Linked DNA regions of Solanum lycopersicum. The protein of the gene in region 2 binds, or shares a complex with, the protein of the main gene of each other region. Links are inferred from orthologs where the notes say so. Each region holds a gene or a part of one and is shown on either strand. Other genes may lie near its edges. The genes, in order: transcription initiation factor TFIID subunit 10, transcription initiation factor TFIID subunit 15b and transcription initiation factor TFIID subunit 11.

Region 1 (4,461 bases), on a different chromosome or scaffold from region 2:
TCTTGAGTCGATAACGAAACAAAACACAACTGATTTGTCACAGTTGAGAAGATCTACCACAATCCAGTAGAAGCATTAGGAAAATAACAATCCATTGGAAACATTAAGAAAGGAAGTTCAGAGAAAGTTGGATGCTTTGTTATTTGTAATCATATATTCTGAAACAAGGTCTTTCTACATGTCTACTCAAGTCATATCTTAGTTTCTTTATATTGTATTTTTCTGTTTCTTTGTCTCTTTTCTAAGGTTTTGGAGTGTCACAGACACAATAATCTCCTGAGGTAGTAGTATTATTGCGCTAACAATAGAGAATTTCAGGTGTTGTATTTTTGGTAGTGTAGTCAAGTTAGGGTCGGCAGTCTTTAAAAATATAACAGGCTTGGATTCTAAAATTACCAACTTAATGTTTCTAATTCATTAGAGACGAACCAAAAAGAGTTTTTTTAAGGTTTGGGGGAGGAGAACAACTTGAACACTTAAAAGTTGGAAGGATCATACAATGACAAACACCTAGACAGGCAACAATTGCATTGAAGCCTCAAGAGTAGGGGACAATCGATGAGCAATATGCCGAAGAATTAGCAGCATACTTAACATAAGATGGAGGAGGAAACAGAATTCAAGAAAAATAAAATAATTAAGAAACATACTGGAGAGCATCAGTAGCCACATCTGCAATAAACTTCTGAGTAGCAACTGCCACCAACCTTATTCTGCATATCCAAAGGAAAAACTCAATACAACAACACAGTATTAAAAACTGATAACATAAGATAAACCAGCCATCACTGTCAAACAAAACATCAAATGCTACAATATTAAAATTTACAACTTGTAAAAAGGTAAATACCAATCCAATTCACAGATATATAAATTTTACTTGAATTTACTGCTAAACCAGATAAATAGAAAACGATCAAAACAAAAACGGAACTAGAGAATACTGCCGCTTAGTCACTGTTTGATTGCTACGAGTATAAAGATATTCAGCTAATTGCTCATCTAATTTTCATAAAAATGGGTATTGCCTTGCGGCTCCACCAACAACCCACCAAGATGTTATATTATTGTTTACTGATGCAGGTTTACAGGTGGATACTGGACTGGCAAATATTGGTGTTGCAGCTCTGGAAAGCCTTGGAAAACTGATTCATGCCCATGTTTCCCCAATCCAGTTTGCGGGAAAAGCTATGACTGTTGAAGCACTTGCTTTAAGAGTGGCTCTTGAACGTACAATCAGGAACAATTGGAAGGATGTGAGAATCCTATTGGAAGCAAAGAGTGTTATTGATTATGATTCAGGAAAAAGTTAACTACCTCATGGGAGATAGAGGTGACTTGTGAAGACATTTGGAAGCTAAGAGCTTGCTTGATCATGTAGACTTTGTTCATATTCCGAGAAGTCTAAACAAAACTAGCACATAATTCAGCTAAGTTTTCTATTACTTCGTTGAAGGAAATATCTTGGGAGGACATCCTCCCAAGCTGGATTTTACATCATTATATGGGCACCTTTGCCCAATTTATTTGTTTGCTGCAGTAACATAATATCTCCCTTTGAACCCCCAGGGCTTAGCTCACTTGGCAAAAGTGTAGAGCTTTCGCTACGCCAAGCAAAATAAACGTAGGTTGAGGAGCGCGTTCATCGTATTCGAGTTTAAAGACTACGGTTAGCTCAAGACAGAGGATAAACCTAGTGAAAATAGTTCTAGATAAACACACGAAAATCATATCTTCCTTATGAGCAATCCAAACAATTTTTCTATAACTAATCTAAGCAGGCTAAATTGCAGAAACATCAACATAAGAATGGGAAGAAAATACATACAATCGAACATCAGGACATTGAAATCCACTTTTACCCAAGTAATGCTCCACCAATTCATCAGGAATCTGATCAAAAGCGTTAACCTACATAAATAAAACATAAAATTGATCTCTTCAGTAAGAAAAAGGGCAAAAAGTAGCTCACAGTGGGAGTATAGTCCATCAAGGAAGCAAGGAAATCGGCTAGAACAGCATCATCCTCGTGTCTTCCTTCACTTGTTTGTTGACCTTGACTTTGGTTCATCTTCACCGTCGAAACAGAGTCAACGGAGGATCGGCGGTGGTCGGAGTTTCAATTTCGCCGGAGGAAAATTGGGGAAGATTTGTGCCTTTTTACTTTGAGAAAAAAATCGGAAGAAGAAACTGAAGAAAAATATTCTAGTAATAGGTAAGTAAAATTACTATGGTTACGATAATTTAAAATATTTAAAAATATATATAAAAATTATTTTTAAACTCACATATTGAAAAAGTAATATTATTTTCCTTCTAGGATATAGAAATATTATAATTTTGATTATTTTTTAAAATTCAAAATTGTTTCTCCACAATTGTGCAAAAAAGAAAAAAAATGAGAAAAGGCCTAAGATAGAGGAGAATTGTATTTTTGTTATGTGAAATTCGTTCGCGAAGAGGGGCATATATATTTACCTAGCTAACGATAATATTTCGTAAAAAAAAAAATTATATTTTATTTTATTTTTTAAATTTGATAGTTCATAACATTTAAAAAAATTATAAAATAAAAATATAATTAAATTATTTTATTCTCTATCAAACCAAACGCAATTAAAATTTACATTGAAGTATATATATATATATATATACACACACTCATAATCACTTATGTTAGCCATTTTATTCTTCTCTATCATAGAAGATTAAAATGAATTATATTATTATTGAGTAAACAATTTGGATATTATTTGATAACTAATTTAATTACAATACAATTGAGTAACTTAATTGGTACTTGAATGATTTGGTAAGCACGATTATAAATCATGTTTCACAAATATGACTAATATCACATTTGATTTGCATCATTTGAAAGTTATATTAGATAAATATAATTTATAAATTACATATTAATAGTAACTCAATTTATAGATTAACTATATATCATATTCGATAGATACGACCTATAAATTGCATGAATAAGCATGATTTTTAAATCATATTTAATTACTATAAATTATCAAATATAATTAGTAAATCACAATAGATATAAAATCGCAAACGTCACATATGCACATACATTCGAGATTCTTCAAATAATTCATTTTCTAAATCGATATATAATTGATTCTACTCTTTTCATTCATTATATTAAAAATATATCATCAATTTTACTTTTTTCATTGAAAAATTTAAAAACGATCTATTTATTTTTTAGCAAAATGACTCTTATGATTATCGTTAGCTAATAAAACACGTATCAAATCGAAGTAACAATTTCCGTGAAAACATATTACTCGAAAACGAAAATTTTTTCTAACTCTTTGTTATCTCAACCAAAATTGAGTACAATTTCCCGAATCTCAAAATTGAAAAATTAAACCAAAAATGGAAGAACTCAAAAAAAAAAATAGAGAAAATTGCTCTGTTTTTTTTTTTTCAAAGCTCAGTAGCTTCATCAATGGCCGATTTGAGATTCTTCATGAGCTTGATCCATAGCTTCATCTTTCGCCTTCTCATCATCAAATTCTTCAGTTTCCTTTTCCAATTTCTTCTCAATTTTATCACCAGCACCAAACGAATTACCTCTACTCGAAATAGGCGTAGCCAAAAAAGTTGGATTCAAATCTCCAGCCATTATCACAACTATTTTCTCCTCAAAAACCGGCGACGCCTTGAAAACATCACCGGTCGATTTCTCGCCGTCGCCGGATTCTACATCGCCGTTTTCTCTCGGATAGCCGGATCGTCTCCAGTAAGAACAAGCTAGGATTACTAAAGCAAAAGTTATTAACACTAGCATGGACGCTACGCCGGCGAATAGATACGGCGCCGGCGAATGCCATGGCGATTTTTGAACAATCGCCGATGGAGAGACTGATGGAGAAGCAGTAGTAAAGGTACTTACTGTTCGCATTTTTATTTTATTTTCGAAGATGAAATGTCTAATATTTTATTTTTTCGATAGAAAAATTTATTAAATTTTTTGCGAGCGAAACGAATATTAAACTTTTAGAACAAAGAAAATAAGAAAAATAAAACTTAGCTTGGCTTGAGAAATGCAAAGATGGTATATGTGTGTATTTATATGAAACAAATTTAGTGGATGAATAGTGAAAAGAGAAAAAGTAAGTTAAAAAGAAGGGTGAAGTGATCAATAGGGAATCATAAAATTTAATGAGAAGAAAAAAATTTACCAAAATTATTATAAATTTCAAATTTTCTTTTTTGCATATCATTGTGATGTAAAAATATATCGTAAAATATTAGTTAAAGTTATTATCGTTTGACTTTGAAAAAGGAAATTAAGACAATTAAAAGATGGACGGAGATAGTATGATATATTGTTATCTTTGAAATTTCTTGTTTTTAAAAAATTATAAAAATTCATATTCGGATATCCTCTCGTTAAGTAAAGTATCATTTGCAATGTATCGGACAAACACAGAATGTATC
Region 2 (4,461 bases):
ACATAAACTGTGAATTGTAGCACAACTGGAGGTAAAATGCAATGGAGTAGAAAGAGTATGCAGTAATTTAAGAAGGCTCACCCAGAACCAAATGCCGGAGGCGGCTTTGGTGCAGACTTTTCAGCCATCGCTACAGTGATTTTGTAACCTCTGAAGTCGTGATCTGATGATGATTATATTTTATGGTCAGCATGTAAATAATATACTGCGTAAACTCAATTGAATAAATTTGGGTCTAGTTTGTACTATTGAAAAAGCCGCCGGCAGAGTGAGCTGCAGAAGGATCTTCGTATGACAGAACTGCATCTCCTTTGTTATTTCCTTGATCGTCTGTGTATAGCTTTATGCTCCAAGGCCACTGGTCTTTGTAACCTCGTTTTTGCTTGATTCTTGCAACCTACACGTTAAAAAGAAACTTAAGCACTTACCCTGGTATATATGCTAAGAGAAAGTCATTAAAAGTAAGCTTCTTTATTGTCACAATTCAATGGCAATTAGTCTGCAAAATCAAGTAGCAAGTATTGGGTTGTCCTTCTGTCTAAGCTCAGGCATCAATACCACATTAACACAGCAAGGGTTCACGTGAAGTTAAGAGAAGAACAACGTAAATGCTACAAGACAGAATGAATCTGATACTGAGAATCATAACCGAAAGAAATCTGCATATTACTTGTCCAATGCTCCCAAAAAGTTCTCTAAGTTCTTCGACGGTCACATCAGGAGGCAAATTTGAGATATATATTCTTGCGTTGTCACAGAGATCTCCACAATTCTCATCGCATTGCTTGACCTTTACCGGAGCCTCAGCTGGAGAACTACCATAACCACCTCCTGTATTCCGGGCACCACCGCCATATCCCCCATCATATCCACCTGGTGGACCACCCCGTCCACCCCCACGAGCATCAGCTGGTGTATCCCCACCATAGCCACCAGGGGCACCATACGAAGGGGGATAAGATGCAGGTCCACCAACATAACTCGCAGGCGGGGGAACTGCATCGGGGTTTCCACCGTAAGTATTAGAAGGTGGTGGATAGTTGCTATCAGCAGCCCCATAAGATGGAGGAGCATGAGGAGGACCTTGGGCATAACCACCACCATCTCTTCCCTGACTACCACCATAAGAACCAGTTCTACCACCTCCAGCATTTCTGCTTTCATAGTTGTCACCTCTTCCCCCTCGACTATTTCCATAGCCGCCATCACTTCCACCTCTGTTATAACTGCTACCACCTCTGCCACCACGATCATCAGAACCAGCAGGTGAAGGTGCACCACATTTGTTACATTCAACTCTTCTAGCAAAGTTCAAATTTCCACAACTACACCCAGACATGCCAGAATTAATAACAATTGACATGAAATGGTAACAAACACAATAACATATGTTAAATGAAATATTAGCAAATGAAACCCAGAATACATAACCTTGAACAACCACCGCACTGAACTGACATCTTGTCAAATTAATAGGATAGAAGCACTATTAAAATTAGAATGACAAAGGCAAGGAGAATCAAAATAAATTTCTTTCTTTATGAAAAAAAAGAGTACTAATAAAATAACTAAGCATCCAGGGATGCAAGATGTACAGAAGTAGGAAGAGCAAGCTTTAGAAAGAGCAGAAATAGAACCTTACATAATACAAGAGAGTTGACAAAATCCAAGAATTGTTCAGGGTTATACAGAGGTGTAAGGTTAACCCAACTAAAAATTAAAACTAAGCATAAATTCTTAGTGAACCTGCATAAGGAAACACTGGTTATATTGAGCAAAGTGGCTGGACAATTTGGTAGTAGGATTTCATACAAGTAATGAAATAGGACATCATATATTTCTAGTGACAGGATATCATGATTTTCCAAAAATTAACCTCTGTTTTATCTGAAAGAGTTTGCACAAACTATCGCTGCCTCACTATCAATTGGATTAGGTTCAAGAGTAAAAGCAAATATAATCCTTTTTTGCTCATATGGAATTAAGTAGGAGTCTCACAAATTTTAAGGGAATTAGGGGGAGAAGTGAGTAAGGATAATTTAACATGACCTGAAAAACCACGAGAAGGATGTGAGAATATTACCTTGGGTTAGGGCAACGCCAATCACCTTCCTTACCACTTCCTCCACCACGACCGCCGCCGCGACCTCCGCGATCTCCTCCTTGGTATCCACCACTACCTCCACGATCTCCTCCTTGGTATCCACCGCCACCGCCACGATCTCCTCCTTGGTATCCACCGCCACCTCCACGATCTCCTCCTTGGTATCCACCGCTACCTCCACGATCTCCTCCATGGTATCCACCTCCACCTCCTGTAAATAGAACCACATGTGAATAAAACTCATTCAAAGTACAGACATAGTGTAATAATTCAAATAGATACCTCGATTATGGGAGCTACCACCATAGCCTCCACCTCCACCTCCTCGACCTCCGCCACCTCTACCGCCGCCACCGTATGATCCGCCACTGCCTCCGTAACCACCACCTGAACCACCATATCCTCCGCCACCCGATCCATACCCACCGCCTCCTCCGCCACTTGGTGGCGGAGCAGATCCGCCGCTTTCGTAACCGTACGTACCGGCCATCGACTGCACTAGCTAGGGTTTATGAATGAGAGAAGAAAAGATAAAGTAAAATACTATATGGGGATAGAAGGGTCAACTTTTATATGCCGATTACACAAGATATTTTTCCTTATTAAATCTTTGTCCACTTCTCCAGCAAATAATCACCTACCTTGATTTGGAGCCAAGTTATTAAATATAAATAAATTATGCTTTATTAATAATTTTATATAAGTTGTATCATGTTGGGTAATTGAGAAGGAGGTGAGATGTCAGGTATAAAAATAGAAAAACTTGTATACAATATCAAATTATTAATTCAAATTAAATGTTATAAATATATTTTGATTTAATTGTATTATTTAACAAATTATTGTTATTTTCACCACTTTTCTTGGTGTAATCTCGTTCGCCACTCTCGTTTGGTGGCGATCTCACTCTCCTCTCTCATTTTTTATACAAAAACAAATGTATAAAATGTTTTTGTGTTTGTATAAGGCGAGAGAAAATTGTATAAATATATATATTTTCGTTCTCCTCTTTCCCCTCTTCCAGATCTCGATCGCCACTCTTCCGAATCCGCTCGCCTCTCTCGCTTATACAAACGAAAACAAAATGTATAAGTTGTGATTTTGTTTGTATAAAGCGAGAGAAAAATTATATATACACATGTAAATACATATATTTCTTCGTCCTATACACTTATAGTTATACAATACAAATATTTCTCTGCCCAATTTTCTTTTGCTTTTTTCTCTTTCTCGTTTTATGCATACACAGATTATACAAATCTTTTGTATACAACTATTTTTTTTATATGTATGATGAATTGGACAACTGTTTTTTTTTGTATATATAGCTATTTTTTATATATATATACATGTTTATATTTGCTATGGAGCGTAATTATACAAACTTTGTTATAGCATACAAGTATGAATTTTGTGGTTGTTATATGTGAAAGTTGCTCATAAAAATAATATAAAATGTAATTAAAATTTTAACAATTCATATAATTAATATATGTATGCATAACTAAACACTTACATTTCTTATAATTATTATCTGCCTAATTTTAATTAACTAAAAAACAAACCTTACATATTTCTTTTAATTATTAAATAAAGTAGATTATAAAAGGGGATAAAAATTGCAAGAAATTAAGTTAATTTGGTAGGCAAAAATACTTTAAACCCCTACCGCAAAACTTGTTCCGTTAACACTCCCTTGATATGTAAATTGTAATTGAAGGGAGTAATCGATGAGATAATCAATTCTATTAGGAAAAATGATAAAAATCGCTTTTTTAAAATCATTTATTATCGCTATTTCCTATTAGTTTTAAAAATATTTTAAATTTTTTATTTTTAAATTAAATAAGACGGATATAAAAATCTGACAAAAATAGAGATGGATACAAAAATGTGACAAAAAATGAGGCGATACAAAAATTGTGACAAAAAATGAGGCGGATACAAAAATGTGAAAAAATATATAAATATCCATCACCTTTTTATTGTATCAGCCCTATTATGTATCCGTATTTTTGTATATTTTTGAGGAATTTTGGTCATTAAAAATTTATAAGGAACAAACGGGCATTTAGCCTAAAAGTATGTTATTTATGTCATTTGCCCATTCTATTAATATGTGATATGTTGGGAATATAATTAATATAAGGGATTGTGTCAAATTACATTTTAAATTCTAGCAAAATGTGATCGTGATATGTTATGAATATAACTAATAAGAGAGATTCGTATGAAAATATATCAAATTATATTGAATTATCATATTATATATATATATATATATATATATATATATATATATATATATATATATATATATATATCACAAGTGTTCGATTGGGCATAATTTGTTTCTT
Region 3 (3,475 bases), on a different chromosome or scaffold from region 2:
TACCGATGAATCGTTGTTTGGTGAATCGTATAATTACTATATTTATGCAGTGCAGAAGAAATTGTATAAAGTAAAGAAAAAAGAGAAAACATGTATACTTATATTCGTCCTTAGTTTGGATGTATGATTCAATATATATACATTATACAAACATACTTCAATTTATGTATGTGTATAAGTTTGTGCTATAGTATATGTCTAAATGAACATTATACAAAAGTATCCTTATACAAATGCAAAAAATTAAACAAATCAATTGTATAATTTGTGTATGTATAAAACAAGAAAGAGAATAAGACAATAGAAAATTGGGCAGAAAAATATTTGCATTGTATAATTATAAGTTTATAGGATGAAGATATATGTATTTGTATGTATATATACAATTTTCTCTCGCTTTATACAATTTTCGCTCTATTGTATAAAGCGAGAGCGGCGAGCGACTGGGAGCGAACAATAGAGGTAGAGTGGCGAGCGAGAATATGAGGGAGAGAGGCGACTGACAAACCGTTTGCTATGGAATACAAATAAATCAAACGGTAGCTACTATATTTATTTTACGTTATTAGTTTGTCATTTTATACTATTATCCTTTTAATGTATACACTTAACAAATGATTGATTTTTTCAATATCCAAGTGTGTTTGGTAGGAAAGGAAAATATTTTTAGCCGAAAATGATTTTCTAAAAAATGTTTTCTCAGCAATCAAGTAGATTTCTTATTTATTTTCTTATGTTTGGTAAGTTAAGCAGGAAAACATTATTCCAATACTATTTATATGATATCTAACAAAACGAAAGGGGGTTGGAAAGTGGGGGTTCGGGGTAACGGGGTTTGGGATGATCCGGAACGGGTCGGGGGAATTAAGTAGGTGGAAAAGAGACAATAAACTTGGAATGCCACTTAACTCGATCTGTTTTTTCCAAACATTTTCTACTATTTTCATAATTTCATGTATCCTAAGTATGCCCTTCTGGAAAAAGGGAAAAATGATGGCAACAGCTGAAACTCAATGTACCAACACCAAAAACTACACAGTTAAGAAACAATTTGTTCAGGATCTTCGTCCTGCCAATCCTTTCGTCAAGGTGAGAGCTCTCTTCCCACCATGGCTGATGCCCCTCGAAATTTACTTCTTTAATGGAACCCCAACATTTCAAAGAGAAGCTAAAGCCTCACCTTGTAAAGGTACACCTCATGAATCTTTTCGTCCAAGATTTACAAGTTCATCCTTACGCCTTTCTGCGAGGAAAGTGGCTGACTACTACAAATCTGAGAGAATGGAGAACAAGGGATGAGAAACATTGTAAAAACTTAAGAGCGTGAACAAATGATTTTGAAAATGAACGACAACGTCCACAGTTAGAATTAAAGAGAAGAACAATCAAACTGATCTGAATTATCTTTTGGTTTCTTTTCTACTTGATAAAGTTTAGGACCGTTGTGATGCCTCCTCCACACAACATGGTGAAGAAGCATTGTTGTCCCGTCACTCCAATTTTCTCTTTCATCCAAGTGCATTGAGAAATTCACAACATGGTCAACAAACTCGACCATGGTCACAATGATGATTTGCCCAAAAATACAATGATGCTGTTATTTTAGCCAAGATGTTGCAATCTTAGTGTTCTCCTTCCATCATTTTCAGTTCCAGGTTACGGGCAGTACAAATATTTTCACAAATGTTAAACTCCTTCCCTCTAATTAAGTAATTTAATTAACAGATTAACCCCATATATAATAGGCAATGCAAAAGTGTCCTAACTCGACAACTTTGTGACTAGCAATGTTTACTTGACCTGGAAGTGCAAGATAATTAAGGATTTGCGACAATTCAACATAGACACATTAGAGGACTTGTAAGCAATAGGAAGACAATGAACCTGAAATATAACTACAGGTTGCTTCCACGTTCACTACCGGAAAAGCCTTGGCACTGATTTTTTTGGAATCTTGCCTTCAAGTTTTAACCTTCTATATGCTTCTCTTATGTGGCATGGCCTGATTGGGCCAGTATCTTTTCTCTCTGCCATCACCATTTTAGCTGCAAAAGGTATTGTAAGATGAGTGAGCACCATTACTTGGAGAAAATCAATGCAGTATAGCCCTTCAACTTTATTTAACTGAGGACACTTCCACCTTGAAACACTAAAGATTGGCAACTCTTTACTGCATAATTAGACTGGAAATTGGTTAAACGTGTTCACCTAGGTTTACGAAATATTCAGTTGATTCTATCGATCTTTTGAAGAAGGGAAAGGAAAAGCAGAGAAACAATGTGACAGTGAGCTTTTACAGGTAGAGGGTAACAGAGACCACTAGGAACAAAGGAGGGCAGTGCCTGGGCCAACACTGAGGCAGGAGAGTCATTTTATTGTTCTTGCTAAAAAGTCCTATGTTTTCCCTAGTTATAGTGCCAAACATCCTTAACCAGTCAGACACGTCAAATGCAATTTCAGACACATTGGCGGGTGCTTACTTAGCATAGGTACGATGTGTGAGTACATAGAAGACATTTTAGAGCCACTCTTTTGTTACTTTAAAGGGGTAAAGTGTTCCAAATGAATGTTAACCAACATGCTCAGTAACGGATAATATTACTGGTCTTGGGCTTTTAATGCCTCATTGTTGCAAATTGGTCAGAAACTGATTATAGTTTGGCAAATATTTTGGAGCTGTGCACTAGTGTCTAAGAATAGAACGAAAATAAGATCATTCCAACGACAAGTCATCCTTGCTATTCCCAAATAAAGGATAAACGTTTGCTTCATCAATTATCTCTATAACAAGTGGATCTGTCTATTTACCTGTTTCAATAAGCTCACCGACAAACATTTTTGCTATCCCAGACACCACAATTGTCATAGGAATAGATATCTTTGCACTTCCTGTGATGTTGGTCAGCAACTGCATCGACAACACACAAGAGTCACGACAAAAAATAAATTATGCACAATAAATGATCAGACTGGAAAAGCAAATATCTCAATGGCCCTAAGGCTTGCACAAGATCCTCACATATTCACAAAGATTTGGCTTCATTCTCAATCATCTGACAGTTACGCGTCTATTGAGAAAATGAATTCTAACATTACATGTGTGCAATGAAAGACAAAAAGAATGTGCTTCAATAGGCTAATGTTAGGGATTGGTCCAATATCACGTAACAAGGCCATCTCAAGTCAAACAACAACAATATACCCAATCTGGGAAAGCAAGAACTGAAAATTACAAACCAAAACTTTAAAACTATACAAAAGAAAATGAAACCCCACCACAGCATTTCTCATGGGTCTCCTCAGAACTCCCAGAAGCTTCTTTTTCAGATACAGCAGAAGCTATCTAAGACACTACTCTAGCATCTCTTTTATCCTGTTTCCACTTCAACCCAGATTATAAAAGTCCATTCATGATGTGATTCCTCAGAAAGAAAGTACTTCTAAGACAGACCCTATTGGCACTAACACTCCCCAA

The links.
Region 1: transcription initiation factor TFIID subunit 15b (region 2) and transcription initiation factor TFIID subunit 10 share a complex: the UniProt entries of both Arabidopsis thaliana proteins name them as parts of the TFIID complex. The link is inferred for Solanum lycopersicum from reciprocal best matches to the Arabidopsis thaliana genes TAF15b and TAFII15.
Region 3: transcription initiation factor TFIID subunit 15b (region 2) and transcription initiation factor TFIID subunit 11 share a complex: the UniProt entries of both Arabidopsis thaliana proteins name them as parts of the TFIID complex. The link is inferred for Solanum lycopersicum from reciprocal best matches to the Arabidopsis thaliana genes TAF15b and TAF11.

What each region holds. Positions count from the first base shown.
Region 1 is NC_090811.1:67,585,948-67,590,408, forward strand, and holds the start of transcription initiation factor TFIID subunit 10, read right to left. Parts: upstream 2,444-4,461; 5' UTR 2,072-2,443; coding exon 1,973-2,071; intron 1,894-1,972; coding exon 1,829-1,893; intron 714-1,828; coding exon 651-713; intron 1-650. Other genes in the region: protein GLUTAMINE DUMPER 2, read right to left, coding at 3,464-3,922. UniProt on the Arabidopsis thaliana protein: TAFs are components of the transcription factor IID (TFIID) complex that is essential for mediating regulation of RNA polymerase transcription.
Region 2 is NC_090805.1:50,535,246-50,539,706, reverse strand, and holds the start of transcription initiation factor TFIID subunit 15b, read right to left. Parts: upstream 2,829-4,461; 5' UTR 2,595-2,828; coding exon 2,387-2,594; intron 2,316-2,386; coding exon 2,084-2,315; intron 1,326-2,083; coding exon 671-1,325; intron 398-670; coding exon 247-397; intron 164-246; coding exon 82-163; intron 1-81. UniProt on the Arabidopsis thaliana protein: TAFs are components of the transcription factor IID (TFIID) complex that is essential for mediating regulation of RNA polymerase transcription.
Region 3 is NC_090804.1:5,055,612-5,059,086, forward strand, and holds the end of transcription initiation factor TFIID subunit 11, read right to left. Parts: intron 2,909-3,475; coding exon 2,809-2,908; intron 2,046-2,808; coding exon 1,918-2,045; 3' UTR 1,885-1,917; exon of another isoform or gene 1,556-1,884; intron 1,274-1,555; 3' UTR 695-1,273; downstream 1-694. UniProt on the Arabidopsis thaliana protein: TAFs are components of the transcription factor IID (TFIID) complex that is essential for mediating regulation of RNA polymerase transcription.